Linked DNA regions of Ovis aries. The protein of the gene in region 5 purifies or fractionates together with the protein of the main gene of each other region. This does not show direct contact. Links are inferred from orthologs where the notes say so. Each region holds a gene or a part of one and is shown on either strand. Other genes may lie near its edges.

The links.
Region 1: the proteins of CDK19 (region 5) and MED8 purify together in Homo sapiens (affinity purification with mass spectrometry; 6 studies listed by BioGRID and IntAct, counting the BioPlex papers as one, with this or other methods). This does not show direct contact. The link is inferred for Ovis aries from reciprocal best matches to the Homo sapiens genes CDK19 and MED8.
Region 2: the proteins of CDK19 (region 5) and MED9 purify together in Homo sapiens (affinity purification with mass spectrometry; 7 studies listed by BioGRID and IntAct, counting the BioPlex papers as one, with this or other methods). This does not show direct contact. The link is inferred for Ovis aries from reciprocal best matches to the Homo sapiens genes CDK19 and MED9.
Region 3: the proteins of CDK19 (region 5) and MED12L purify together in Homo sapiens (affinity purification with mass spectrometry; 3 studies listed by BioGRID and IntAct, counting the BioPlex papers as one, with this or other methods). This does not show direct contact. The link is inferred for Ovis aries from reciprocal best matches to the Homo sapiens genes CDK19 and MED12L.
Region 4: the proteins of CDK19 (region 5) and MED31 purify together in Homo sapiens (affinity purification with mass spectrometry; 6 studies listed by BioGRID and IntAct, counting the BioPlex papers as one, with this or other methods). This does not show direct contact. The link is inferred for Ovis aries from reciprocal best matches to the Homo sapiens genes CDK19 and MED31.
Region 6: the proteins of CDK19 (region 5) and CCNC purify together in Homo sapiens (affinity purification with mass spectrometry; 8 studies listed by BioGRID and IntAct, counting the BioPlex papers as one, with this or other methods). This does not show direct contact. The link is inferred for Ovis aries from reciprocal best matches to the Homo sapiens genes CDK19 and CCNC.
Region 7: the proteins of CDK19 (region 5) and MED16 purify together in Homo sapiens (affinity purification with mass spectrometry; 6 studies listed by BioGRID and IntAct, counting the BioPlex papers as one, with this or other methods). This does not show direct contact. The link is inferred for Ovis aries from reciprocal best matches to the Homo sapiens genes CDK19 and MED16.

What each region holds. Positions count from the first base shown.
Region 1 is NC_056054.1:18,067,155-18,071,390, forward strand, and holds the start of MED8 (mediator of RNA polymerase II transcription subunit 8), read right to left. Parts: upstream 2,801-4,236; 5' UTR 2,779-2,800; coding exon 2,773-2,778; exon of another isoform or gene 1,684-2,772; intron 1,438-1,683; coding exon 1,319-1,437; intron 313-1,318; coding exon 168-312; intron 1-167. Other genes in the region: KICSTOR complex protein SZT2, read left to right, coding at 2,957-2,983. UniProt on the Homo sapiens protein: Component of the Mediator complex, a coactivator involved in the regulated transcription of nearly all RNA polymerase II-dependent genes.
Region 2 is NC_056064.1:34,574,073-34,578,114, reverse strand, and holds the start of MED9 (mediator of RNA polymerase II transcription subunit 9), read left to right. Parts: upstream 1-1,242; 5' UTR 1,243-1,311; coding exon 1,312-1,532; intron 1,533-4,042.
Region 3 is NC_056054.1:237,456,019-237,459,518, reverse strand, and holds part of MED12L (mediator of RNA polymerase II transcription subunit 12-like protein), read left to right. Parts: intron 1-620; coding exon 621-809; intron 810-1,413; coding exon 1,414-1,488; intron 1,489-1,605; coding exon 1,606-1,796; intron 1,797-2,631; coding exon 2,632-2,793; intron 2,794-3,500. UniProt on the Homo sapiens protein: May be a component of the Mediator complex, a coactivator involved in the regulated transcription of nearly all RNA polymerase II-dependent genes.
Region 4 is NC_056064.1:25,115,147-25,119,134, forward strand, and holds the start of MED31 (mediator of RNA polymerase II transcription subunit 31), read left to right. Parts: upstream 1-1,188; 5' UTR 1,189-1,255; coding exon 1,256-1,283; intron 1,284-2,134; coding exon 2,135-2,212; intron 2,213-2,684; coding exon 2,685-2,781; intron 2,782-3,988. Other genes in the region: C11H17orf100 (uncharacterized protein C17orf100 homolog), read right to left, coding at 427-804. UniProt on the Homo sapiens protein: Component of the Mediator complex, a coactivator involved in the regulated transcription of nearly all RNA polymerase II-dependent genes.
Region 5 is NC_056061.1:26,950,835-26,954,334, forward strand, and holds part of CDK19 (cyclin-dependent kinase 19), read left to right. Parts: intron 1-2,405; coding exon 2,406-2,478; intron 2,479-2,856; coding exon 2,857-2,954; intron 2,955-3,500.
Region 6 is NC_056061.1:37,553,097-37,556,596, forward strand, and holds part of CCNC (cyclin-C), read left to right. Parts: intron 1-267; coding exon 268-347; intron 348-1,428; coding exon 1,429-1,638; 3' UTR 1,639-2,376; coding exon of another isoform or gene 2,377-2,431; 3' UTR 2,432-2,986; coding exon of another isoform or gene 2,987-3,041; 3' UTR 3,042-3,500. UniProt on the Homo sapiens protein: Component of the Mediator complex, a coactivator involved in regulated gene transcription of nearly all RNA polymerase II-dependent genes.
Region 7 is NC_056058.1:41,109,603-41,113,655, forward strand, and holds the start of MED16 (mediator of RNA polymerase II transcription subunit 16), read right to left. Parts: upstream 2,801-4,053; 5' UTR 2,696-2,800; intron 1,927-2,695; 5' UTR 1,800-1,926; intron 1,447-1,799; 5' UTR 1,402-1,446; coding exon 1,269-1,401; intron 722-1,268; coding exon 614-721; intron 362-613; coding exon 192-361; intron 1-191. UniProt on the Homo sapiens protein: Component of the Mediator complex, a coactivator involved in the regulated transcription of nearly all RNA polymerase II-dependent genes.

The DNA.
Region 1 (4,236 bases), on a different chromosome or scaffold from region 5:
ATTGAAATAGGACAGAAGGACAAAAAGCAAGGCCTCCAAAATGTAGCCCCCACTTATTGCCACACACTACTGCATATTCAAAATTTCTAGATAGAAACCAACCACTGTGCTGTCAGTCCTCATTTAAGGGCTTTGTTTCCTAAGCTGCATCCCTCTCCTCCTCTTACCATGAGATCTTCATCTCGGTCTGGGGACAACACCAGAGGGATGATGACCTGGTTGCGGAACAGTGGTGTCTTTTCATGCTTCAAGACCTTGTTCAGAGTGTTCAGCTGTCCAGAAAGCAAGGCAAAGCTGTCCAGGACAGATGGCCTGGTGGTGGTAAGAAGATGTCAGCATGTTCCTGGTAAAGGAGCCTCAAAGGGGTCCCTCGGACTAGGAATAACCAGACTCACCCCCAAAACACTCATAGCCCTATGCTGGCCTGGGCAGGAACTAGACTGGCTCGCAGGGATTATGGGGTTAAGAAAGAGGGATACACTTTGAGTTTCTGACACAGATGGAGAAAAAAAACAGGTCATTATAGCAATCCCCACTTATCCTAAGTTTCACTTTCTGAGGTTTCGTCTACCCGTGTCAACCACAGTCCAAAAATATTAAATGATAAATCCAGGAAATAAACAATCCATGTTTTTAAATTGGGAGGTGTTCTGAGGAGTGTGATGAAATCTTGCTTCATCCCACTCTGTCCTACCCAGGATGTTGATCACCCCTTTGTCCAGCATATCCATACCGTATACGGTACCCACACAAGTAGTATAGAAAAAAAAAAACAACAACCCACAGTATATACAGAATAGGATTCAGTACTATCATAGTTTCGGGAATCCACAGTGGGTCTTAGAACTTACCCCTGATAGATCACGAGGAGCTACTACATTTGAATGGGGTGAGGACAATGGCAAAATAGGAACGATGGCTACACTATTATCACTAGAACTTCAGAAACCGGGTGAAAGATCCCTTTCCAGATCCAAACTTTCCTAGATTGGACCTAAAAGACTTGGCAAAACCCGTGCAAGAAATCCAGTATGAATACTGTGGTGGGAGGACCCACTGCAGGAGGACCTCATCCTGGAGAAGTCAAACAGGGAGAATCAAAAGCTAGAAAGAACCTGGGTTGAGAAATTGGGCATTTCTCTACTACCCTTAAAGTTGAGGTCCAAGGCCAACTTCAGTGTTAAATGTTGGGAAAGCCAGCTCTTTCTAAATCAAAAGATGTTCACAAAGTGATAAATGCTGGAGGAGGTACCCTGTGCAGCAGGTGGCCTAGCCCCCACCCATAGAGCCCTCCCCAGCTTGCCCTGGCAACTCTTACCAGGTCAGCCGGTCATACTCGTTCTCCAGCTTGTAAATGAAACTCCCCAGTGAGTTCTTCAGATCAGCCACTTGACTCAGCAGTGCATCTAATGATGCCTCAAGCTGTTTTTCCTCCCTCTGAGCCAATAGGAATAGGTTGGTTACTCAGCTGAGTGTAAGGATGACACATATAGAGGAAGGCTGAAAAGCCAGGGTGACAGTGTGCAACACCAGGACAGTGACACAGAATCTCATTGGCACAGGGACAGTCAGGCTGTTTCTGTCTCCTGTCAGCCGGGCTCCACCCCTATTTGGAGTTAGGATCACAGACAGCATCAACCCTTAGACCTTAAAACCCATTCATCTGACCTCAATTCCTCTTACCTACTGATTCCTTCCTCTCATCGCTTTTAATCCGGGCGTGACTGTTTCTCTATATTAGGCTTGGTTTGTATCTGTTCTCCCTCACTGGACAATTTTCACCAGACGTAATGCCTGGGATTTATTCTGTTCGGCACACCTCAGCAGCAGACGTACTCTGACGTCCTATGTTCTAGAACCTGCCTTGTGAACCTGGCTGTTCTTGGCAATGACATAATCTCTGAAAACCTACCTATACAGGAAGGCTCCTCTGAATACTGCCACCGTCACCTTCCTCTTCCCTCAGCATTTGCTGTTTCAACCTCCTCCTTGCTAAATCAATCTGCACTCACTTTATTGCTGTGCCAATATTCCTGTGCCCCTTTCGCAAGCTTAGTCAACCTATAAAAATGTACTGACAACTACCCTTCTGCAACAAACAGTGACAAATGAAAAACAAAACAAAACAGCAACCAAACCGCACATGCCCCTAAGCACTAGGCAAACTATATTAAAAGCTGAGGGGTCTCCAGTTTTATCTCATTTCACCCTTTAACTACTAGGGGTACACACTAGGAAGAATGAAACAGAACTGCAAAACCCCGAATGTGGAGGACACGAGCCGGGTTCCACCCACGGCCTCAGATTATTTAGTCTGGCTTCTGGCCACCACGGTCCCACAATTCCTTCCACCCTCGGGCTTCTCTCCAGTTAGATCCTCTGTTCTGTCAACATCCAACGTCTAGGCCGGGGCCTGAGCCCGAGCCCAATCCACCTCTTTCTTCAGCCGTCTTCCTTGGACTGCACCTTCCCAAATTTCAACTTGATCCTTTTCCACACCCTATCAACAACTTGATCCTTTTTCCACACCCTAGCAAGACAGTGCTGCCTTCTCCGTCCCAACCTAACCGCAGTTTCTGTCTCCTGTCAGCCGGGCTCCACCCCTATCCCTCTCCAGAGGTCCTCGTCCCCATCGCGCGTCCCTTTATCTCACAGTCGCGGTCTCGACCAAGTCCTCTCATCCCTAACTCCTCACTCTCTCCTCGGCCAGCCCACTTTCTGTCTCGTTACCCCAAGCTAGCTACCCGTCGCTAGCGCCAAACCGGTCCTCACCTGCATTGCTGCGGCGGGGGGCGGTGTCAATCACTTCCTCTTCCGGTTCCCAAGTAGGCCAATTAGAAAGCTCAGAACTCGACCCTCCCACTCACTTCCGGCCCCGCCAGTCGCGAGACCTCCGGGTCAGGGGTCAGGAGCGGAGCATCTTCTCTGGCCCGGGCCGGCGCGGGAGGGCTGTGTGATGGCCTCGGAGCGCCCGGAGCCGGAGGTGAGGGGCGGGCGGGCGCAGCGCTGGGCCTGTAGATCCGAGGGGGAGGGTCCGGCGGCCAGGCGCGGCCGTGGCCTCCTCCGGGTCTGGGGGCCGCCTGGCCCTCCTGAAGGCCCAATAGTAGCATCTCCTCACCCCTACTTTCCTCGGGGAGGCCTAGAGGAGGAATTCGTGGCTCAGTTTTGTTTGCCGAAATTTAATCCACGATTCTCTACTCTAGGGCTCTTGGGTTCTTTGACCTCGTAATGGCATTCAGAAAATCTGTATTTTGATCTTCTGTTGCAGTTTCAGTGGGCAGGTTTGCCGGTTGCTGCCTCATTCAAATATTATTGGAATGCCATAAACAGCATAAATTAATTAGGTTCTAGCGCTCATGCAATTGGAGAGCAGCTTAGATTTCATGAAAAAACGTTGGATTCAGAGTGAAACCTCGTTCTGGTATTGGCGCTGCCCTGTAGCTATCTGTGCAACTTTGGGCAAATCTTGACTTCCCGGATCCTGTTTCCTTCTTTGTAAAATATCTATCTTCAGGTCTATTGTGAGGATCACACGTTTTAAATGGGAAAATGCAAATGAAGCATCCATTAAGTACGAAGGACCATGCAAGGAACTTTTGTATACATTGTGTGGTTCAGACTTGTGCAAGGAAGGTGACAATACCCATTTCCATATACAGACAAACTAAAAATCGAGGGAAGTGAAGTACCTTACCCAAGTGCTACTCTCAGCTGGGGAGTGGCAGAGTTTTGTAATTAGAAGTCTAAAATGTCAGATTTGGAAAGAAAACATCACTAGGAGAGTTGCCCAATGTTACAGGAGAACATGTGAGTGGATGGGAAGGGTGAGAGGTGTATAATCATGTATTGAATCCTTACCTATCGAATGCTTACTGTGTCCCAGAGACCATCTTAGCGCTTTACCAATGTCAAAGATTACTCTCAACCCTACACAGTAGACACTTATCCCCATTTTTCAGTTGAGGAAACTGAGGCACAGAGGTTTTAAGAGTAACAAAGTTGCACAGCTAGTAAGTGGCAGAGCCAGGACTCCAAAACAGGTGGTCCCTTGTGATCTTGTGTTCTTAGCCATAATGTTTACAGTGCAAAGAGAAAGTAGCCACAGGATGGTAAATCTCCAGTGCTAGGATTTGATGTAATGAGATCCAAGATTAAATACAACTGTAGGAAACTACCCTATTAAAAAGGATCAAATGTGCTCACAGGGCTGGTGGAGTAGCCTAGGCATCAGAAATA
Region 2 (4,042 bases), on a different chromosome or scaffold from region 5:
ATAAGAAAGCTGTGCTAAGGCTGTTACCAAAGTGCCCTCTGACACACCGTCCACCCTCCCCACTTCCTTCCACAGTCTCCTCCCCTGGGACTTGCCTCTACAGACTCCTCCTAGATGCCTCTGAAATACCAGCACTGATGCTTCCTTGGCACCGGCCACCTTGCTCTTCAGTAGAGGGGTACTTCCCAACTAGGATGCCACTCCCCATCACACAGCCCCCTCATTGTGGCTTGGGAGGGCTTGTTTTGAGGAACATACCCACAAACCCACCAGGAGTCCCCTACTTTGACCTAAGAGCCCACTGCTGCTAAGTCGCTTCAGTCGTGTCTGACTCTGTGCAGCCCCATAGACAGCCACCCACCAAGCTCCGCCGCCCGTGGGATTCTCCAGGCAAGAACACAGGAGTGGGTTGCCATTTCCTTCTCCAATGCATGAAAGTGAAACTGAAGTCGCTCCGTCGTGTCCGACTCTTAGCAATCCCATGGACTGCAGCCTACCAGGCTCCTCCATCCATGGGATTTTCTAGGCAAGAGTACTGGAGTGGGGTGCCATTGCCTTCTCCGCCTAAGAGCCCAGGGCTCATGCAAAGGACACCTTCAAAGGTCAGCCATGTGTCTGAAGTTGGAAAGTGGTTTGGGCTCTGCCATGACCCTGAACTAAAGATTTTAGAGGTGAGCACACTGAGACCGGGGGCTTCAGGAGCTGGCCCACAGGTACGGAGAGTAGCTGACACTGACTTCTCCCTCGGATACAGTATTTATTCCTGGTACTAATCCCCTTCGGCCATCTCTGCTCGGAGTAAGTTGAGACAGACCTCACCCTTCCCCCACAGTTAGCACAGCGTGTGTCACCCAGAAGATGCATATTAACTGTTCGGTTTATTTCAGGGTCCATAGGGTAGGCGCAAGACCTCGTCCCTGGAGGCTTCTGCGCGGGTGGGAGCCGTGGGTCCTTCCCCTCGGATCCTCCACGGGCCCAGGGCCTGACACCCGCAGGTGCGGAGGTGCTGTCCACTCTTCCTGAGGCCCCATTTATCTTCCTCTACAGGTTGCTTTTGGATTCTCTTTGTAACGTGAATAGGAATGAGATGTTATTCCTGAAGTATACCTTCTATTTCTGACTTTTGAAAAATTTAGCTGTCTCTGCGCACCACCAAATCCAGGCTACCAAGGACCAGCCGCCTGTTGCCTAGTAACGACCGCCAGGCCCGGCCCCGCCTCCGCGGCGCACGATGGTGACGTCATAATCAGCAACACTTCCGGCGCGCGAAGCCGACTGTCCCCCTGATCGGCTGCTGGGGTCCGGGACACGATGGCTTCTGTGGGGGTTGCTGCCGGCCGGCAGGGTGAGGACACGCTGCCGCCGCCCGCAGAGCCTCCGCTGCCGGAGATGAAGCCGCTGCCGCAGCCGCAGCCGCCGCCGTCTGTCTCTGCGCAGCAGCCGCAGCCCGCGCCGAAGCCTCCATCCCCTGCCGGCGTGAAGGCGGAGGAGAACTGCTCCTTCCTTCCCTTGGTTCACAGCATCATCAAATGGTAAGGGCCCGGGGGAATCAGCCCGCACGCCCCCGCTGCCCATCACATGTCCAAAATCCAGGGGCGCCCCGCGGTACCAAGGGGGAGACACACCCGGAGGGGAGCGGCCACGCCGAGGCCACCGCGAGCAGTCCCAAGAGTTCAGCATTCCCTCCTGGGAGTTACCAGGCCCCGTGCTGGCAAGCAGCGTTCTTAAAACGAAGCCGATGTAGACAGCAAGTGCACAGACGCTGCGGGCAGACCATTGGGGTGCAGCCTGGTGAGCCTGTTTTCCCACAGATCCGACAGATACGGGTCATCTTCCATGTGTGGCACACTGCTAAGTGCTGTGGCGTGTACACGTGGAGGGGCCGACTTTTCATCCCCACCTTGCTCACCAGTTAGAAGGGGAAACTAATGAGCGGAATAACCCATAATGCAAAGAGATTATAGGGGTGATGTTGGGAATTTTACAGGAGTAGGACGCTGCCCTCCGGACAGCACTGGGGTGCCCTGTCCCGGCGACACGGGGTGATTGTCTGCTTTTGGCCAGTCTTCAGATCACCTGAGTTTTCAAACTTATCCTTAGAAGGAAAACACACACACACACACAGCCAAAATCTCCCCAATCCCCACATTTGCCCAAATTATTGTTAACTGTTATTTATGTCTACATGATAGCAAAGTTTAAACCCCTGGGCTTGAACTTTTTATTCAGCCATTAAAAAATAAAAGCAAAGTGGATTACAACAAAGTTGTAATCTTTTACAGTAACAAAGTTGTTATTTTTACAGTAACATTCAAGTGAACATCAACATGCTCTTGGATGTTTTGCTGAAATGGAATTGATACTCACAATACAAAAGTATTGGTGATGGCCTAGCCGGTTTAGAGTTGAGGCGGATTAGATTCACTTGCCCTGGGATGACCTGACACTTCCACTGCTTTTCAGACGACTGTGAAGACTTTGTTCTCACAGTAGTCACAGTAGACCTTGACTTCATCTGGCTTCACTTGGTGTGAACATAGTGTTTATCGGGCAAGGCAAACTGTTCTATTCCCAGGAGCCTGTGATCAGGTAGCACTTCTAGGCAGAGTGACCAAGCAAACACACACAGAAGCAGCCCTGGAGTCCCAGGCATTATCCAGGATCAAGCCAAATATGCTTATTCGGGTTTTAGAAAAAAATACGGAAAAATGAAAACACACAGTGTTCTCCGAGTCTATTTTTGACCCTGATAGAGCAGTTGGGTTGGGCTGGCCTTAAAGATGGAACTGTATTGTCTGTGAGAAAGAACATGGGCTTTGAAGTCAGATCTTCTTGAGTTCAGATCTGCATGTTGATGCTTGCTTGTGTTGGAATTTTAGTTAAGTGCATAGCCTTTCTAGACCTTGATTTTCTTATCTCTAATATATGAGTAATAATTGTTCTTTGTTCAGTCGCTCAGTTGTATCTGACTCTTTGGAATCCCATGGACTGCAGCACACCAGATTTCCCCATCCTTCACTATCTCCCAGAGTCTACTCAATCTCATGTCCATTGAATAGGTGTTGCCATCCAAAAATGAACCACAGATGATAGCTCTATAAGGTACCAGCTGAATGACCTTGGTCAGACAGCTTAAAGGCTTGTACTTTCCCAAGATTTGTTTTAGGAGAGAGTCAGCCAGAGTGTCTGGACTGGGGAACACTAGGCACATTGTGGGAGCTGGGGGAGGGGAGCCATACTGAGAATAGGAGCTTGAGAGCAAGTCCACAGACTGGACATTGAGACCCAGCCCCACCCTTCACCCATACCTCCCCTTTCCTGTCCCCAGCTTCTCAACTGACAGCCAAAGAAAATAGACTCTCTTGGGTGTCTGACCCCAGAGACACTGAACCAGGGAGTCGAGGAGTCATCCGAAGTTTTTGAGCTAGTGCTTGGGTTTTGTGAAGGTAGATGGGACAGAGGGCTTTAGGAGGAGGAGAGGACTGGGGTCCACAGGAAGCTGGGGAGTAGGAGGAGGAACAGGGATGAACTGCAGGTGGTGGCAGGCAGAGCTGCAGCACTGACTGAGGGGACTGTGGGTGCCCAGCACACACAGGTGCAGGTGTGGGATGGTCATCCCCATTCAGACCGCAGGTGATCAGTTACAAACATCCACATACTCGTAACAGCCATGTCATCTAGCTGTCCGAGGTGCATTTCAGGTGAAAAAAGAACCAAGAATCAGAACCATGTGTGTAGTGTGGTTACATTTTTGTCAAAACAAATTGAAAAGTGATTCAGTTACACATATATGGACATTCTTTTAAAAAAAATATTCTCTTCCATTATGGTTTATCATAGCTATTAAGTATAGTTCTCTGTGCTATATGGTAGAACCTTATTGTTTAAAAAAAATTTTTTTTTTTGTTTGTTTGTACCTTGTCCTTTCAGACTTATGTGTTGTGAATCAGTTTTCTTAAAACTATAATTTAATTTCAAAATTGCCTTGGGACTTAAATTCATAACAATGTGTTAGCACATATGCCATCCAAATGGAATGATT
Region 3 (3,500 bases), on a different chromosome or scaffold from region 5:
CTTAAGAAATTACTGATGTCTGGATAGCATTACTGAGGTTGATTAACTGCTGTGATATGGGGACTGATCATCCTTGACTCAGCAATTGTAAGAAATTATCCTAAGAACATAATTGTACAGAGAACAGATGTGCACAAGTATTTATAAAGGTAACATTATTCATAATGACACCAAAAAGGAAGACAGTTTTCTCAGTGTTACACTATATCCTATCTATTCAGTGGGATATATTACAGTATGTTCCATGAAAGTGAGGAATACATATTATAATACAGAATCACTACTGTTACATAGCAAGTTAAAAAAAATGATTACAAAACAGTATTTAGAGCAAAGTTTCATTCTCCAACTGAAAACACATACTAGTGTTTTCTTTACTGAGCTTTCTCCCCCACTTCCTTTTTTATCTTTTTGCTAATTTCTTTCATGCATTCCTTTTTAAAAAAATTTTTAAAACCAAGATTCTACTTTATACTTTTAAGAAGTCAAAATACTGGAAAATTTCTAAGCCTTTTCCCTCCTACTTTTTCCATCTATTATTTTTTAAATGGAAAATTTCCTGTCCGCTTTCTGTTGTGAGCCATGAGTTTAGTACAATCTAATTGCCATCTTATTTTTAGGAATGGGTAGGAGAACATTGTTTAAAGGAACCTGAGAGATTATGCACAGACAAAGAACTTATTCTGGACCCTGTGCTCTCAAATATGCAAGCACAGAAATTATTGCAGCTCATCTGTTATCCTCATGGCATTAAGGAATGTACGGAGGGGGACAACCTCCAAAGACAGCACATTAAACGCATTCTTCAGGTGAGTGAAAATAGTCTAAAGACTGTGTTTCTGTCGTTTTGACATGTTCTTTGTGTTTATACAGGAGTTACTGCGTCTCTCTTGTCATTGCTAGCTAATTCTTAACTTCAATTAATTCTGATTTTTATTCCCCCAATTTTACATTTTGTGTAACAGCCACACTTTATTGCTGGGCAAATACGCACGCTGCAAACCATATACAACCATTATGTATGTATAAGTGCAAATATGTTAATTCATGTCAGTATTTATTGTGTTTACATGAGAAATAAGCTTTGTAGAAGGACTGTCTTCATTATGTTATTCATAAAATATCAAAATCATTTTGTAATGGAGTTGTTTGGATAGACTTTGGGAGAAGAAATGATTGTCTTATTCATTTCCAACGCCTAGCTGAGTAAGGCACATTATTTTAATGTTGCTGTTTTTTCCTTTGTCTCTATAATGAGCATATGTAATAGACTTGGAAGCCTTTTGTGTCATATGAATCCCTTTATTGTGTGTGATCATTCATCTGTTTTTTTGAGAAAGAGAATACTGCAGGGGATTCTTATACTTTAAGACATGTTTGGTATTCTTAACGTGCTAACTCCATTTTCCCCAGAATCTTGAGCAGTGGACGCTGAGGCAGTCCTGGCTGGAGCTTCAGTTAATGATCAAACAGTGCTTGAAGGACCCTGTGAGTATATTCATGAAAGCATGAACGTGTGTGCCGTTTTATGAAAAGCAACACAACATTGATGCTTGTGGATAAAGTAAAACACAGGAGTGCTTGTTTTCTCATGTCTGACTCCAGGGCTCTGGTTCGGTGGCTGAAATGAACAACCTGCTGGACAATATTGCCAAGGCAACAATAGAGGTGTTCCAGCAGTCAGCTGACCTAAACAATAACTCTTCTAACGCTGGCGTGGGCCTCTTCAGCCCAAACGGGATTGGCAATACTGATACAAGTAGCACAAGGCAGAATGGAATAAAGACATTTCTCAGGTATTTTTTTTTCCCTGTGGTTTTACAAAACTATCATTCATTTTTCACATGTAACTGCACATTTTACTTGGATAATGCAGACTTTTTTTTTTCATAAAGCTGCAGGAATGTGAGGAAAATAATTGCTTGTAAGTGTCCATTATCATTATTTAATATGTTAAAGGGCCATGCTGCTGGGCTGCACGGTAGCTGAGCATTCCACATATGCGGTTGAGCAGGCCCAGACTCCTTGGAACCACAGTTTACATTCCATAGGGGTGAATTTCTTTCATGTGCCCTGAGGCTGCCCTATTCTGTGGTATTCTTAATATAGGAAACACTCTTTCTGCCATCTTTTTTAGTTGGCAGTTTTGCTCAAATGATAATTACAAAAGGCAGATAGACTTGTATTTCATCATTTTGGTGTCAAGTATAACTGGTGAATTTTGAATCTTTAGAAATTGGTTATTTAAATGCTTAAATGTAATCAGAACGTTTCATATTTTAACCATGAGAGAAAGGTATATTGCTTGTTAGACAAAAAAACAAATTGCTTGTTAGTGTTCAGAAAGCCAGAATCATAGAAAACCACTTTTCCAGACTTTAAAAAAAAGTTGAGCTATAGTATCCTTGCAGAATCCCACCTTTTAGTGTTTCCATAAGCACGAAGAGTGTGTGCAAATGTCTGGTATTTGGTGAGACGAAACAGAGGATAGAAGTAAAAGGCAAATGTTAGAATAACCCATGTGTCCTGTGAATGTAAGTTTTGCTTTGGAGTTTCGATCAGAACTGTGGGAGCAAAGTAAAAGGATGCCTTGGGTATATCCTTGGGTATAACATCTGTTTCCATTTTTAGTTCCTCTGAACGCAGGGGTGTGTGGCTGGTGGCCCCCCTAATTGCCAGGCTGCCGACTTCTGTGCAGGGAAGAGTGTTGAAAGCAGCTGGGGAGGAGCTGGAGAAAGGACAGCACTTGGGTTCTTCTTCCAAAAAGGAAAGAGACAGGCAAAAGCAGAAAAGGTATGGCTGGAAGTTTTGTTCCTATGTGAGCGGTTATAGAATGGTTGAGAAAATTCAGTGTCCTACAGATGTACGTGCTCATTATACTCTGCTGTTGATGGTTATTAATAGTTGCTAAGTCATGTCTGACTCTTTGTGACCCCATGGACTACAGCATGCCAGGCTTCTCTGTCCTCCACTATCTCCTAGAGTTTGCGCAAATTCATGTCCATTGAGTCTGTGATGCTATCTAACCATCTCATCCTCTGCCACCCCCTACTTGTCTTGCCCTTGATCTTTCCCAGCATCAGGGTCTTTTCCAATGAGTTGACTCTTTGCATCAGGTGGCTGAAGTACTGGAGCTTCAGCATCAGTCCTTCCAGTGAACGTTCAGAGTTGATTTCCTTTAGGATTGACTGGTTTGATTTCCTTGCAGTCTAGGGGACTCTCAGGAGTCTTCTCCAGCAACACAATTTGAAGGCATCACTTCTTCTGCCCTCAGCCGCCTTTATGGTCCAACTCTCACATCCATACATGACTACTGGAAAGAACATATCTTTGACTAGATGGACCTTTGTCTGCAAAGCGATGTCTGCTTTTTAATACGCTGTCTAGGTTTGTTATAGTCATTGTACTCAGAGTCCACTGAAATTTCGCCTTTGTATGGAATTGAAAATAATCTGATCGGCCAAGTTCTGTTAGATAAAGTCTCCAGATTATAATATGTA
Region 4 (3,988 bases), on a different chromosome or scaffold from region 5:
TGTCCATGGAATTCTCCAGGCAAGAATACTGGAGTGGGTAGCCATTTCCTTCTCCAGGTTTGAAGCAGCCAAGGTTATTTAAAGGGCCCCCAATTCAAAACTCACCTGCCTTGGAGGCTCAAACAGTCTCTTTTCCATCAGCTTAACACATACAGTATCTAGAGCCTAAAAACTTTTTATGCTGGCTTCAAATTAAAATAGTTCACTGGGTCAAAGGCTTGCCTTTGGTCCAAGGTGCAGGAGGGTCAATGAATGTTGGCTAAATCCCGAAACCGCAGCTTGGCTCTTTCTTAAATTGATCTGTGGACTGTTTCCAGGAAACCAAAGATGATCGGTCCACCTGGCAGCAGGCAGGCTGCGAACTGGAGGCGATTCTGCCCTGGCCAAGGGCCATGGCCCCCTCGTGGCCCCGAGGAAGGCAGCATTTCATCGGGCCTTTTGGATGTTATGGCGGGCGGCTGGCTTCTCCCGCCGCGGCGTGCTCTCCACGCGGTGCACAGACGTCTCCACCCGCAGGGACGAGGCCCTGACGTGGCGGGAAGCCGTCTCTGTGAGCTGCGAGGCGGTTTCCACGTGCTGGGAGGACACCTCGAGGACTCGAGGGAGCCGCTTCCCAGAGGAGGAGACGGAGGGTCCCTCGCTGCTGCGCTGGGTGGTCTCCACCTGCCGGGAAGATGTCCTCACGTGACGGTAGGATGTCTCCACGCGGTGGGACGAGGTCTCCACGCTGACCGTCGCCGTCTCCTCGGAGCGGATGGATTCCGCCCGGGCCGGAGAGGGCTTTCCCCGAAGGGGTGAGGCCATCTTATGGGGGTAACAGGGCCAAGCTGACCTTTGGAGGCCCCACAGCCCCACAATCCCCGAAGGATTATTTTATACGGTGAGGAGCGACGTCACATGCCATTGTGATGCAGGCAGAGCGGTGGTCGAGGGTCCCGCGAACCACGTGGAGGCACCGTGATCTTGGGGCGGGGAGGCCTAAGATTCCTTGGGAACGCTGGGTTCGTCCCCTCGAGAGCGCCGTCTGCCCCCGCATCGCCCCTTAGCCTGTCAAGAACCTGTCCGGGTGGAGGCGGGGTTGGGGCGGGGCGGGCCCTGGATGGGCGGAGCCACCCGCCCCCTTGCGAAGCTGTGCCCACCCCCGCATCCCACACTGCCCCGCGGCAGGAAGGGGACGCTGCGACTTCCGGACCTTCCCTGTTTCTCCGATCCTGGCTGTGTGGGGTTGCTGGGGACTTAAGAGTGTCTGCTGGTGATGGCCGCGGCCGTCGCTATGGAGACAGGTGAGTAGCGCTCTGAGCCTCGCGTTTTGTCAAATAGAAACTGTCCCGGGTCCAGACACCTGCTTCCCGGGATTTTTTGAGAATCCAGGCCCAACTCCCGGCAGAGTGAGTGATCGGAGCGGGAGGCACCAGGGTTTTTTTTTAGCGACTGGAAGGGCGAAGGTAATTTGGCCTTTTCAGAGTTTGTTTTGTTGGCCGATCCTTTCTCCCCGTTAGTTATTCAAACAGTGGCCCCACCGGCTTCCAGAAGACTAAAGGAGAGATTTTGGATCATAAACCGCTTCCTCGAGTTGTTTTTTTGCATCTCAGATGAGCTTGCCTAAGTTTAAAATATCGTCAGCGAACTCTTGTATTACTGTGCCACTAACGGGTCTCACGTAAGCACGCGTTTCTTGATACTCACCAGGGTCTCTTTCATCTTGCATTCTGAACGTCTCTTGATGGATTTAGCATTTTGTTTTTGCTAAGCTTGATCACTTAACAGCTTGTAACGCACTATCAAAATAAGGCAAGGCACATTGCTGCAGCTTATCCTAGTGATCACTGTGAAGTCCCAACATGGTGGCTCACGAGTGATTAATGTTCTGCTCCATGTATAATCTTGTTTTCTTTGATAATTTAACTTTAGATAAACCTTTTTTTTTTTTTTTTTTTCTTAATCAGGGCTTTGCTTTCCTTAGACTTATAAGGAAGGTGTTTCTCCTCCTACACCCAGTTTAGGAAAACCTTTGCATGCTCTTCTTTATGTAACTCAGCATTAGTCAGATGTCTGTACTGCTGTTTTCTGTCTAAAAATCAGTATTATATACAGTGACATTTATTTTGGATGATTTTGCTATCTTCTCTCCTAGATGATGCTGGAAATCGACTGCGGTTTCAGTTGGAGTTGGAATTTGTACAGTGTTTAGCCAACCCAAATTACCTTAACTGTAAGTTGTTGAGCACCTCATTGAAGTGAATAGCTAGTTACGATTTCTGATAGAAGAGTCAAAATTCATAGTACTGTCAGCCCTTTGTATCCTTGGAGGCAACCTCAGTTGGTGGAATCTGCCCATCCTGAGGGTGACAATACTGTCATGGCACTATGTTGTTTTGTACAGGAGATTGGAGCACCTGTGGATTCTCGTGTCTGCGGGGCCTCTTAGAACCAACTCCCTGTGGATTCTGAGAGATGACTTTAGTATCTAGTTTTGTACATTCTTAACTGAATGGAATGACTGTTGCACTTATACTGGTATATATAATTGAGCAAACTGGGACTTCTGTTTTGAATTCAGTGTGTGTTGGTGGTGGGAATGTTATGTAAGTAAATTCTTTACGATTATGTTAGTCACAGATCAGTAGTCCAAGGACTGGTGTGCTCTACAGATGTATTTTTTTTTTTTTTTTTATGCCTTTCAGTTCTTGCCCAAAGAGGTTACTTCAAAGATAAAGCTTTTGTTAATTATCTTAAGTACTTGCTTTACTGGAAAGAACCAGAATATGCCAAGTATCTAAAGTAAGTTTAATTTTTATAGTCCTAAACATGTGTGTACTTTTATTATATTCCAAAGCACTGATATTTAATAGACTTCTTACTTTCACGTTGGAAAAAATACCTGTTGAATCTCTGCTCTCCTTTCAGTTGCCTCCATTTTAATACGAGACACATCATCTCTAACTTAACTGGGATTACTGCAGTATCTACTCATTGGTATTCCTCCTTTCTCCCTGCCCTGCCAAACAAAGAAGAAACATTTTCTGCACAGAAGCCAACTTGGTCTCTTAAAAATAGAAATTACATTCCATTAGAACCCTTTGGTCGCTTCCCATTGCATGCAGAAGAAAATCTCGTCTCTTAGCCCTGTGTGATCTGTCCCTGTCTTCTCTGACCTTATCTTGTACCACTCCCTGCATCTCACTGAGTTTCTGACCTCAAGGAACCCGCAGTCCATATATGCAATGACAGCCATAGCCTGAAAATGAAAAAACATAGAAAGAGGTACTTACTTGTAAGCAAGGGTTTCTGGAGAAGGTAACCGTACCCGAGTCTTAATAGCTGCTTTCTTATTTTATATATCTTACATAATAAATACATGAATTTATCATTCAGGTTGTGCAATAGATACTCTCGTTTTAAGGCTTACTGAAATGCAAGGAGCATATTGTAATCACAAACATTTCTTTTTAATGATAAAAAATAAGCCTTGAACACCCACCTCTGCTTTGTCTTAAATAGGTAGTCAAAAAGCAGTGGTGAAATGTCTAGCCTTTTTTTTCCCCTAAACAGACACAAGTTTGAGAGGAGAATGTTTAAGACTTGTACTTTGGCCAAGCCACTTTTCTCTGTCTAATAACAGCTGCTTTATGAAGTCCACATCCTCCTTTTGCCTGTGGGACCCTTTCCACCCTTACTGGCCCTTTATAAAAGAACCACTTATTCATTTAATAATCCAGAGAAAATATATATATTTTTTTACTAGATTGCAACATGTTATATGTATGTATTATAGACTTAGAGACTCAGTGTTGGACACTGAGCCCTGGACACCGTCAGGTTCAATTTTACCCACAACATTGCTGAGATGGTCATCTGTATACTGGCTGGAGGTTTCTAGTGAACACATACTAATTCAGGGGCAGCCAATTCCGTTGTTAGCTAGATTCCAGAAAGTTCCTCCTTGTATTATTGTGTCCGACTCTTTGCAACCCCATAGATTGTAGCC
Region 5 (3,500 bases):
TACCACACAATTGCACTCATCTCACATGCTAGTAAAGTAATGCTCAAAATTCTCCAAGCCAGGCTTCAGCAATACGTGAACCATGAACTTCCAGATGTTCAAGCTCGTTTTAGAAAAGGCAGAGGAACAAGAGATCAAATTGCCAACATCCACTGGATCATGGAAAAAGCAAGAGAGTTCCAGAAAAACATTTATTTCTGCTTTATTGACTATGCCAAAGCCTTTGACTGTGTGGATCACAATAAACTGTGGAAAATTCTGAAAGAGATGGGAATACCAGACCACCTGCCCTGCCTCTTGAGAAACCTATATGCAGGTCAGGAAGCAACAGTTAGAACTGGACATGGAACAACAGACTGGTTCCAAATAGGAAAAGGAGTATGTCAAGGCTGTATATTGTCACCCTGCTTATTTAACTTCTATGCAGAGTACATCATGAGAAACGCTGGACTGGAAGAAACACAAGCTGGAATCAAGATTGCCAGAAGAAATGTCAATAACCTCAGATATGCAGATGATACCACCTTTATGGCAGAAAGTGAAGAGGAACTAAAAAGCCTCTTGATGAAAGTGAAAGAGGAGAGTGAAAAAGTTGGCTTCAAGCTCAACATTCAGAAAACGAAGATCATGGCATCCGGTCCCATCACTTCATGGGAAATAGATGGGGAAACAGTGGAAACTGTGTCAGACTTTATCTTTTTTGGGCTCCAGAATCACTGCAGATTGTGACTGCAGCCATGAAGTTAAAAGACGCTTACTTACTCCTTGGAAGAAAAGTTATGACCAACCTAGATAGCATATTGAAAAGCAGAGACATTACTTTGCCAACAAAGGTCCATCTAGTCAAGGCTATGGTTTTTCCAGTGGTCATGTATGGATATGAGAGTTGGACTGTGAAGAAGGCTGAGCGCCAAAGAATTGATGCGTTTGAACTGTGGTGTTGGAGAAGACTCTTGAGAGTCCCTTGGACTGCAAGGAGATCCAACCAGTCCATTCTGAAGGAGATCAGCCCTGAGATTTCTTTGGAAGGAATGATGCTAAAGCTGAAACTCCAGTACTTTGGCCACCTGATGCGAAGAGTTGACTCATTGGAAAAGACTCTGATGCTGGGAGGGATTGGGGGCAGGAAGAGAAGGGGACAACAGAGGATGAGATGGCTGGATGGCATCACTGACTCAATGGACGTGAGTCTGAGTGAACTCCGGGAGTTGGTGATGAACAGGGAGGCCTGGCGTGCTGCGATTCATGGGGTCGCAAAGAGTCAGACACGACTGAGCGACTGAACTGAACTGAACTGAACTGAACCTGCATGCCTAGTGCAGGCTTTCCGGTGCCCATGCTACTGGTCTGAGGGCCAGGTTCATGTAGCAAGTTCTAGAGCACACACAAAAGGCTTTGGCATGTACTTACCCTTTGACTTAATAAATCTAAGACTTTATCCTGAAAAAGCATCAAAGCAGCCACACATAGCTAAGATGAGGCACCTAAAGGCTTTCATAGAAGTTAACTGCCCAAAATCGCACAACTGGTAAATGACTGAGTCAGGGTCTGGGAGGGGCCTCTGATTCTCACCTGCCATGCAGTCCTGTCCCCCTGAATGTGTACCAGATTTAGGATCTGTACTTTGTAAGTGCTGTGAAACAAGTATCATTAGTAACAGTAGAAAATGTTCAACCCGTACAAATAAAAAGCTTAAAGAGCGTTTGGCAAGAGAAAACATTTATAAAACAACATTAAGGACAACTTATATATACTATGATTCCAATTTTATTAAAACAAATACCTCTTTGTGTGTATATATATGTATGCACAGAAGAAATGCCAAAGGAAAAATATCAAATCTTGATAAGAGTTTTTTAAATTGCTTCCTAGCTTGATTATGAGTGTTTTCAAATTTTTCTTTATACTTTTTTATATTCTCTAAATTTTTTACCATAAACATGTATTACCTGTTTCTTGACCTTTTAAATTTGAAATATTTCATATGTAGGAAAGAATATACATAATGAAAATATGTAGTCTATTTAGAATAATAAAGTGAATACCCATTTACTCACCCCTCAGCCTGAGCAGTTGATATCCTGATATAGAATATGTACCTAGGAAGGAATTGCTGGATCATAGGATAGTCACATTTTCAGCTCTAATGGTTAATGCATTATTATTTTCCAAAGTAATTCTAACAGTATAAACTCTTACATGCGGTGTGTAACAATTCTTATTTATTTTTTACACATTTACCAACATTTGGTTTTGTATTCCTTTTTAATCAGAAAACAAAACAAAACAAAACAATGGCTTAAATGAATACATACCTCATAGGAAAACCAACCTTGGAACCTTCCATTAAAAGATGTCAATTGCGTGAATGTCCTCAATAGTGTGTGGATGTCATGTCTTTGCAGGTACGCCAACAGTAGCCTCATAAAGTACATGGAGAAACACAAGGTCAAGCCTGACAGCAAAGTATTCCTTTTGGTAGGTGCATCTCTCCAGAGTGGGAAGGTGATCCTTAGCACAGCTCTCACCCCACCCCACTTACTGTGAAATTGTCCCAGCTCTTCCTCCTCTTCAGGAAAAAAAGGAAACTGGTGGATGCTGGGGCAAAATTAAATCTTTTTCCTTTGAGATATCACCCTTGACTTTTAGCCTTGTTTCCAGTGGTTTACCAGTAGGAAAAAAAAAAAAATTCTAAAACGGCTTTACTGCTAATCATTTCTGTCAGTTTCACATAAATGTGTGTAGTGTATTAATAAACGGGCACCTGATGTTAATTCTGTTAGCCATTAACACAGTCCAAACATTCCCCTGGAAGCAGACTTTCCCGTGCTGTCAATTTCTTATGTGTTATTCTAGCTTCAAAAACTCCTTACGATGGATCCAACCAAGAGAATTACCTCCGAGCAGGCCCTGCAGGATCCCTATTTTCAGGAGGACCCCTTGCCGACATTAGAGTATGTATCCTTCCTTTTCTGTGCACTTTGCTCCAGGTTGAAGGTGTGCGGTGGTGGCTAAAGGCAAGGGAAGCACTTGTTACTCGAGTCTTTTATTTCCTTGGTTAATACCACCTCGGGAAACACTAGCCGAGAGGTCCTGTACTTTGAAACAGGCAAAGCTGTAAAGAGGTGTGAATGAAAACAAGTTTACGGAATGATCATTAGTCAGTTTTACAGACAAAAACTAAAGCTGAGAACAGATGGGACTTTTATTATAGATCGGTCAGCCAGAACAGTTTACACCAAACCAGTAGGGAACTGAGCTTTTAAAATTCTGTGTCTCTGCTGCGTTATTATACTTCTCCATTTCCCCATCCTTATTATACCCACAGATATAAATTGTGCTTGGACTTACTGATATTAGAGGTACAGCTTTTCTTGAGAAAAAAATTACTTTCATTGTTGAAGCAAATACACGGTCAGCTCTTTTTAGTGCTGATGAAGTTTGTGTGGAGAAATTTCTGTGTTACATATGTCAACTAGCTAAACGCAGTTTTAAGATGT
Region 6 (3,500 bases), about 11 Mb from region 5:
AGGGAACTGCACCATGACTAGCTCACCTCATGCTCACCATGAGGAGCAGGTGTCAAAAACGTTAAAAACAAAAATTATATATCACCCAGTAATTTTTCCTCCCTGTAAGATTAAATTGATGGGATGGTTATATAATTAATAAATTATATGAATCTGTATAATTTTTAAAAAGAATATAATAAAATACACATAAGTGAATGAATCTTTCTGACTCCATACATTCCATGTGCAGTTAAACATGGAATTTGTGTCTCATTTTCTCTCCAGCTTGCCTGCATGTAGCCTGTGTTGTACAGCAGAAAGATGCCAGACAGTGGTTTGCTGAGCTTTCTGTGGATATGGAGAAGGTAATCTTTAGAATTCCCGTAACTGAATATAAACTTGAACATTTTGAAGTTAATGTCGTATTTATTTACCATGTGCCTAAAATTTCATGATGTCAGCCAGGCAATGAGTACTTTTTGGTTTTAAAAGAAAAAATGTTAAGAAATATGTTGGGAAGAAGAATTGATTTTGACCATTTAGGTTATATTTCTCTTCAGTTTAGGATTACATAGAATGGTAAACTTAGTGTTTGACTGGTTGCAAAGCAGTCTCTTAATTGCCAAAATTATTTTAAAAGCTACCTAGTGACTACTGTAATACTACTGTAAACTCCAGTAACACAGCCTATCTCCTGACAGTGGATTGTTGCCCTTTTTTCTACCTTTTTTGCTGAAATGTTCTAGAATCAGTCCAAGGATAGATTTACTCAGGGGGAAAATAAAGATCTAATTTGGAAACTGGACTTGATAGATTTGTAGCTGCTGGTTTTTGAGCACCTTAACTCATTTGTAGAGTAGTTAGTAGAGAATCAAAACAAAGTCTTTTGTGCACTACCGCTCATTAAATTTTTTGAAACAGTGGTTTTAGAGGAGTTTACTCTGTAGTAGGGCTTCCTAGGTGGCTCGGTAATAAGGAATCTGCCTGCCAATGCAGGAGACACTGGTGTGATCCCTGGGTCAGGAAGATCCCCTGGAGGAGGAAATGGCAACCCACCCCAGTATTCTTGCCTGGAGAATCCTATGGACAGAGGAGCCTGGCAGGTTACAGTCCATTGGGTGGCAAAGAGTTGGATATGACTTGAGAATACATGTGCTCTATAGTGGTATTCTCTTTCATGATTTAGACTTTTGTTCCTAGTACCTCACTGTTTTGTTTTGGTTTCAGATATCAGTAGATAGAAGGAAACCAACAGAAGAGATGGATAAGGATAAGACCTAGCATACATGTGCTTTCACATTTACTGGGATTGACTAACCTAATCTGAAGGATAGAGACTATCTTTTCACTGTTTCCTAAATGATGTCTAGGATATGATGTGTGTTCTTTATATACCAAATGTTGCTTGATATTGCCACTGAGAACTTTTCAAATATTTTCTTCTAGATTTTGGAAATAATCAGGGTTATTTTAAAGTTGTATGAGCAGTGGAAAAATTTTGATGAGAGAAAAGAGATGGCAACTATTCTTAGTAAGATGCCGAAACCAAAACCTCCTCCAAACAGGTACTTTGTAGAGTTTAATTATTGCTTTTATTTAATTATATATTTCATAGGCATTATATTTTTAATAGAGTATGCTATTTTGTTTTTATAAAATGTCTTCTAAAACTTCATGATACGTGTTTTTTTGTGACTTAATATTTTGAAAACATCTCATTTAAAAAAATATATTAATCTGATCATCTGTTAAGTAACTTTTCCTGATATAACGGCAGGTCTATTACAGGTATCCCTCAACATATGGCTATATACTTAAATAAATTTAAACAGAACAGAGATAGGCAAGTCCATTTAAAATTCAGGGATAAAGAATTTTGGAGTAGTTCCATGTCAGTTTCACTCTGTGCCATCTTTTTTCCCCCAGTAGTGGCTGTTAACCCTGTTGATAAAGTTCAGTATCATTTTTCAAAAACTTAGATTATTGATCTGATACTGTAAAGATAAATAATTTTGACTTTCGAGTGACTCAGAGATCCATTGCACATAATATAATTTTGCTAAGTATGAGTTACTTGTGCTGAAAGGGTTTTTTTGTTGTGGTGGGGTTTTTTATGTGTTATATTGTTTTTTAACTGGTTTTTAACTTAATTCATTTAAGTTCAGTGGTTTTCAGATGTCAGTGTACATCAGATCATTTTGTTTAGGGGAAAAAGGTCAGAAGGGAAACTACCCATCTTAATCATTTATCAAGAAAAATAAATAAGTTATATAACATTAAGGTTGATTTGTAGATCTGGTATGTTAAGGTTACCATTTGGAAAAATTAATACTTTTACAAGGAGCTGTTTAAAGCAGTCATTCAAACAGCTGCCTTTGGATGCATTTTTTGCAGAAATTCCCTGAGTGATTCTTCACTAGTTGCAGGGCCTGAAGCTGCAAGATGCTGATGGACAAGATAAGGCAATTATCCTATTGCCACAATTACTGGTATTTTCAGTTTCAGTGTTTAAATATTCAGTGCTTTACAGGAAATTACCATATTTCTTTCTGACTTTTAAAGGTTTGCTGTATTGACGTATGGTTTTATTATGCCTTTGGACAATGATTTTTTGGAAGAACATTTCTTGATTTTCATTATTAGTAGGAATAAGATTTTCCATGTATAATTTAATTTCATAGGAAATTTGTCTAGAAGAATCTCTATGTTGAGTGATACCTGTAATGACAACAAAATACTCTAATTTAAATTTTTGAGTGTGTATGGACACTAACTTCCAGAATGCTTGCTATATGTGTGAGGGCACCAAGTTACATAAGAATAAAAACATAAAACCAAATGTAGTCTTCTGGATTTTAATTTTTCCACATCTGTATCTTATGATTGGAAATGTCTTTGTTTTGTAAAGCTATAGCAAAGAATAACTTTAAAAATTAGTAGCTTACTAGGGTTTTGAAAATGAGTTTTAATTGGTGTAAAATCTCTTTCTTCCCCACTTGAACAGTGAAGGAGAGCAGGGTCCAAATGGAAGTCAGAACTCTAGCTACAGCCAATCTTAAAACATTCCGAAGAATTTCATAGTGGACCAGTTGGAAATAAACCATTGGACAGATTTCAGTAATGTCTTCAATGGAACACAAATGAAAATGAATAGCTTGTTTCTGTCAAGCATATTGGGAAGTGATTTTATTTTTGCAAAATGTTTTCCTTACCTAATTTGATTCTGATACATAATTGATTAAAATCTATTGTTTATGAAAGTTTGCAAAGGTTCTAAGAGGACCTACAGACAGACATACATAGACTTTTGAAAATTAATAGCTTCTGATTAGTGTAATTTTTCTTAATTTGGATAATAGAAATTTTAACTCTTTATTAAGCCAGAAAACATGAAACATAATTTGTTTAAAATTCTCTTTGGTCACTGAATGACCGAAAAAAGGAAATAAGTCAAATAAATGAGGGTCTTTTTTTTTTCCCTCCTTAAGTTAAACTTTAAAATTGTATTTAAGGAATCA
Region 7 (4,053 bases), on a different chromosome or scaffold from region 5:
TCAGGGAGACACTGGGCTGAACCGTGGGGTACAGACAGGAACCAAGGGCTGTCACCACGTCAAACCACGTGGGAGATGCTAGCAACACAGATGCTGACAACTGGGTGGCAGGTGTGACAACCTGGCACCATGAGAGGAGGAGCCAAGCCCTCCCTGGGCTTGAGGCCTGCTCCCCCAGGCAGGACACCCACCTTTTCCACATGCAGGGCCAGTTTTACACCGTTGTGCAGCCAGGACAAGGCCACGATGGGGTCCCCTTCCACCACGCTGCCCACGGGGCTCTCCCAGCTGTTGGCCAGGTGGTCAGCCATGCTCCAGCACTTGATCTGCCCATCAGCATCAGCTGACAGCAGACGAGAGCCTGAGGGGAAGGTGGGAGATTGGGCAAATCTGCATCACAAGCCCCATCCCCGCCGTCCATCAGGGTGGGGGGGCCGGAATGTAGAAGTCGTAGAGCAAGGGACCAGCACAGGTGAGTTCAGAAACAGGGGCGAGAAGAGCAGAAGCCTCAAAGGCACAGGTCAGGGTTTCAAGTCCCAGCTCTGAGCCTAGGGCTAAGGCCAGGAAGACAGAGCAGGCAGCCCTGGCATTCAGGGTGGAAGGCTGCCCTCACCAGACTGGTCCCACTCCAGGCAGGTGATGGCCTCGCTGTGCTCTGAGCGGATGGAGTGCACGTCCCAGGGATGCTCAGTGTCCAGGATGTGGATCATGCGGGTCAGGTCTGCGAGGGACAGTGAGGTCAGTGTGGCAACCACGGCCTGGTGCCCGACCACCCCAGGGGATTGGGCTGTCAAAGCCTATCAGGAAGCGTTAAAGCCAGGCTGCAGGGACTCCAGAAACATGATTTATACACAGGCAGCCCAAGGGGAGACCCATGGCCTTCTGTGAGGTTACAACTGTGCTTTCAAAAATGGACCCAAAACACTAACAGCGGGTGTCTCTCCATGAAAGGTTAGGGTTCTCCTCATCCTAAAGTTTCACGTTTTCCTAATTTCCTCTAAGAAGTGCATATTGCTCTGTGGTGGGAAGAATATCTGCCCTGCGGCAGAGTGCACCGCAAAGCTGGTGGCAACACGTGCAGCTGGAAAACTCCTGCAGGAGCTTCAGCAAGCCATAAGTGGCCACCACCCCCTCTCCCCCAGCCCTGCAGACACGGCCATTCCTCAAGGTTATCTCTGTGCCCCTCAGCACCCCTGTCTCAGAGGAGGAAACCCCATGGGAGCTGGGGGGAGGGCCCTATGAGGGGGCCTGGGATGGGGGTGGCACACCCTGGTCATCGCTGCGCAGGTCCGTGGTGAAGGCGATGAGGTTGCGGCAGGACCAGGTGCAGGCAAGGGGACCGGATGGGCAGTGGGTGCTCTTGGGCCATTTCTCCCACTCACAGATGTAAGCCAGGTCCATGGTGCCCAATTGCCAAGGTCACACAGGGAGGACGGTCACCAGCTCCTACAGGAGGGAAGACAGGCTTGTCATCCATCTTCACAGGGTGCCTGCAGGGCCCCGAGTGCGGTGGTGGATGCTGGTTACCACGGGGGACAAAGTGGACTCAACCCCTGCCCTGTGTGTGGCCAGGGAACTGCGTTTTACACAAGCATGGCCAGGGATCAATCCATGCAGCTGGGAGGAAGAGCATGCCAAGAGGAGAGAACAGCCAGTGCAAAGGCCCAGAGGCTTGACTGAGCCTGGGATGCTCAAGCAGTATCCAGGCCTGCAGAGCAGGAACAGAGTGAGTGGGGGCGAGAAGCAAGGTAAGGTTGGGGAGGGGATGAGGCAGGTCTTGCAGGGCCTGGGGGTTTTACCAGGAGGAAGATGGGAGCCCCAAGAAGCCTGTTTCTGTTTCACAGGCCCCTCTGGCTGTCTGAAGGGCACGGCTGGGGAATGGATGGTGGCGCTGGTCCAGGTGTACAGTGACGGGGACAGTGAAAGCTGCGACAAGAGGTAGCACCCAGGTCTATTCTTAAGGAGGACACAGGAGAACCAGTGAGGCTGCCTTAGACAGAGGTAGGGAGGCAGGGTGGGGGTTAGGCAGCAACTTGGGGCCTGGCTTCCAGGGGTACAGAAAGGGTCAGTGAAAGCTTGCTCAGCAGGCTCTTTGCACCCAGCCGCGACTAAGGTTATTTCCTTTCACCTTCCCAATCACATTACCCGCTGCTTCTTAAAGCCCCGCCCCAGAACACTGACACCCCGCCCACAAGCCCAACCAACAGTCATTTTAAGCTCTGCCCCCAAAGCCCTCCGGCCCCGCCCCTACAAAATGTGCCTTCCAGACCTCACTCTCAATTTGTCCCTGGCGTCCCCAGGCCCGGCCTAAACTTCTGTTTTTATTCCAAAGTCGCCAAAACAATCCCAAAGCCCCTCCTCCACACACCTGGCCACCTGGCCACCCAGGACCCGCCCCAACCCACCCGACAGTCCCTAAGCCCCGCCTCAAATGCATCCCAGGCCCTCCCCGGGGAGGTACAACCTTAGGCCCTCCCCGGTTTTACACCGCCCAACGCAGGGAGCCTCAGGTCACCCCAAATTTCCGCCACGACCCCCCAGACCACGCCCAGAGCCCTCAGGGAGCGTACCCAGCACCCTCTGCTCTCCAGGACCGCCCTCTGACTCCACAGGCCCTGCTCCGACCCATAATCCCAGCAGCGTCGGCGCCATCCGGAGGCTGGCCGACTGCCCAAGCCCCCAGCCCCACACTCACTGGACCAGCCTGTACGCCCACCGAGAAGGAGGCTGCCGTCTGCATTCGCTCTAACGCCCCGGCTCCGGCGCCGCCATCTTCCCAGGACCAACGAGTCTCCCGCGCAGCCCGGCTGCTTCCCGGAGACTTCTGGGACCTCAGTGGCTCCGCCCCGCTTCCGGGGTAATTTGCATACAATCGTGCCTTTCCAACAGCCATCTGCGTTATATTTGATGGAAAAAACAAACTTTCTCAATTTAAGTGAATAATCCCCTTAGATTAGGCCATTATTGCACTAAGTTAGTAAAAAAAAAGGAAAATTGCTGTATTGGTTTTTGATAGAATTCGCCCTCAGCGTAAAGTATTTGGTTCTGTCTACTATAAATAGTTCTGGCGTCTGTTCGTGGTTTGTGCTCGCTTCGGCGGCACATATACTAAAATTGGAACGATACAGAGAAGATTAGCATGGCCCCTGCGCAAGGATGACACGCAAATTCGTGAAGCGTTCCATATTTTCGCTTTTTATCACGATGTCTAGCCAACGTGTAACTCGCTTATAAGCCAGGTAACTCAACCCATCAAGGGCCGGTAGAATCAGTCTCCATCCTCAATTCCTCCTCCAAAAGCTGTCGGACTCTCCCCAGTCTGGAAGGTCTTTTCCAGAAAGACATAGGATTGATTGCAGGGAAGGGTATGACAGAGAGCAGGCAACATCTGGGCAAAGGTCTGGGGGCCGGGCTGTCTAGGGACGCGGTGTGTGGAGAATCTACACAGCCAACCAGGAAGCTGGACAGGACGGAGTCCGCGTGGGTCTGGAGGCAGCCTGTGGGCTTGCCCTGGGCCCCCCACCCGTGCCCTGAGCCCCAGCCGGTCCTCTCAGTTCAGTTCAGTCGCTCAGTTGTGTCCGACTCTCTGCGACCCCATGGACTGCAACATGCCACGCTTCCCTGTCCATCACCAACTCCCTGAGCTTACTCAAACTCATGTTCATCGACTCGATGATACTATCCAACCATCTCATCTTCTGTTGTCCACTTCTCCTGCCTTCAATCTTTCCGAGAATCAGGGTCCTTTCCAATGAGTCAGTTCTTCACATCAGGTGGCCAAAGCATTGGAGTTTCAGCTTCAGCATCAGTCCTTCCAATGAATATTCAGGACTGATTTCCTTTAGGATTGACTGGTTTGATCTCCATGCAGTCCAAGGGACTCTCAAGGGTCTTCTTCAACACCACAGTTCAAAAGCATCAATTCTTCGGGGCACAGCTTTCTTTATGGTCCAACTCTCACATCTATACTGGAAAAACCCTAGCTTTGACTAGACTGACTTTTGTAGGCAAAATAATGTCTCTGCTTTTTAATACACTGTCTAGGTTGGTCAT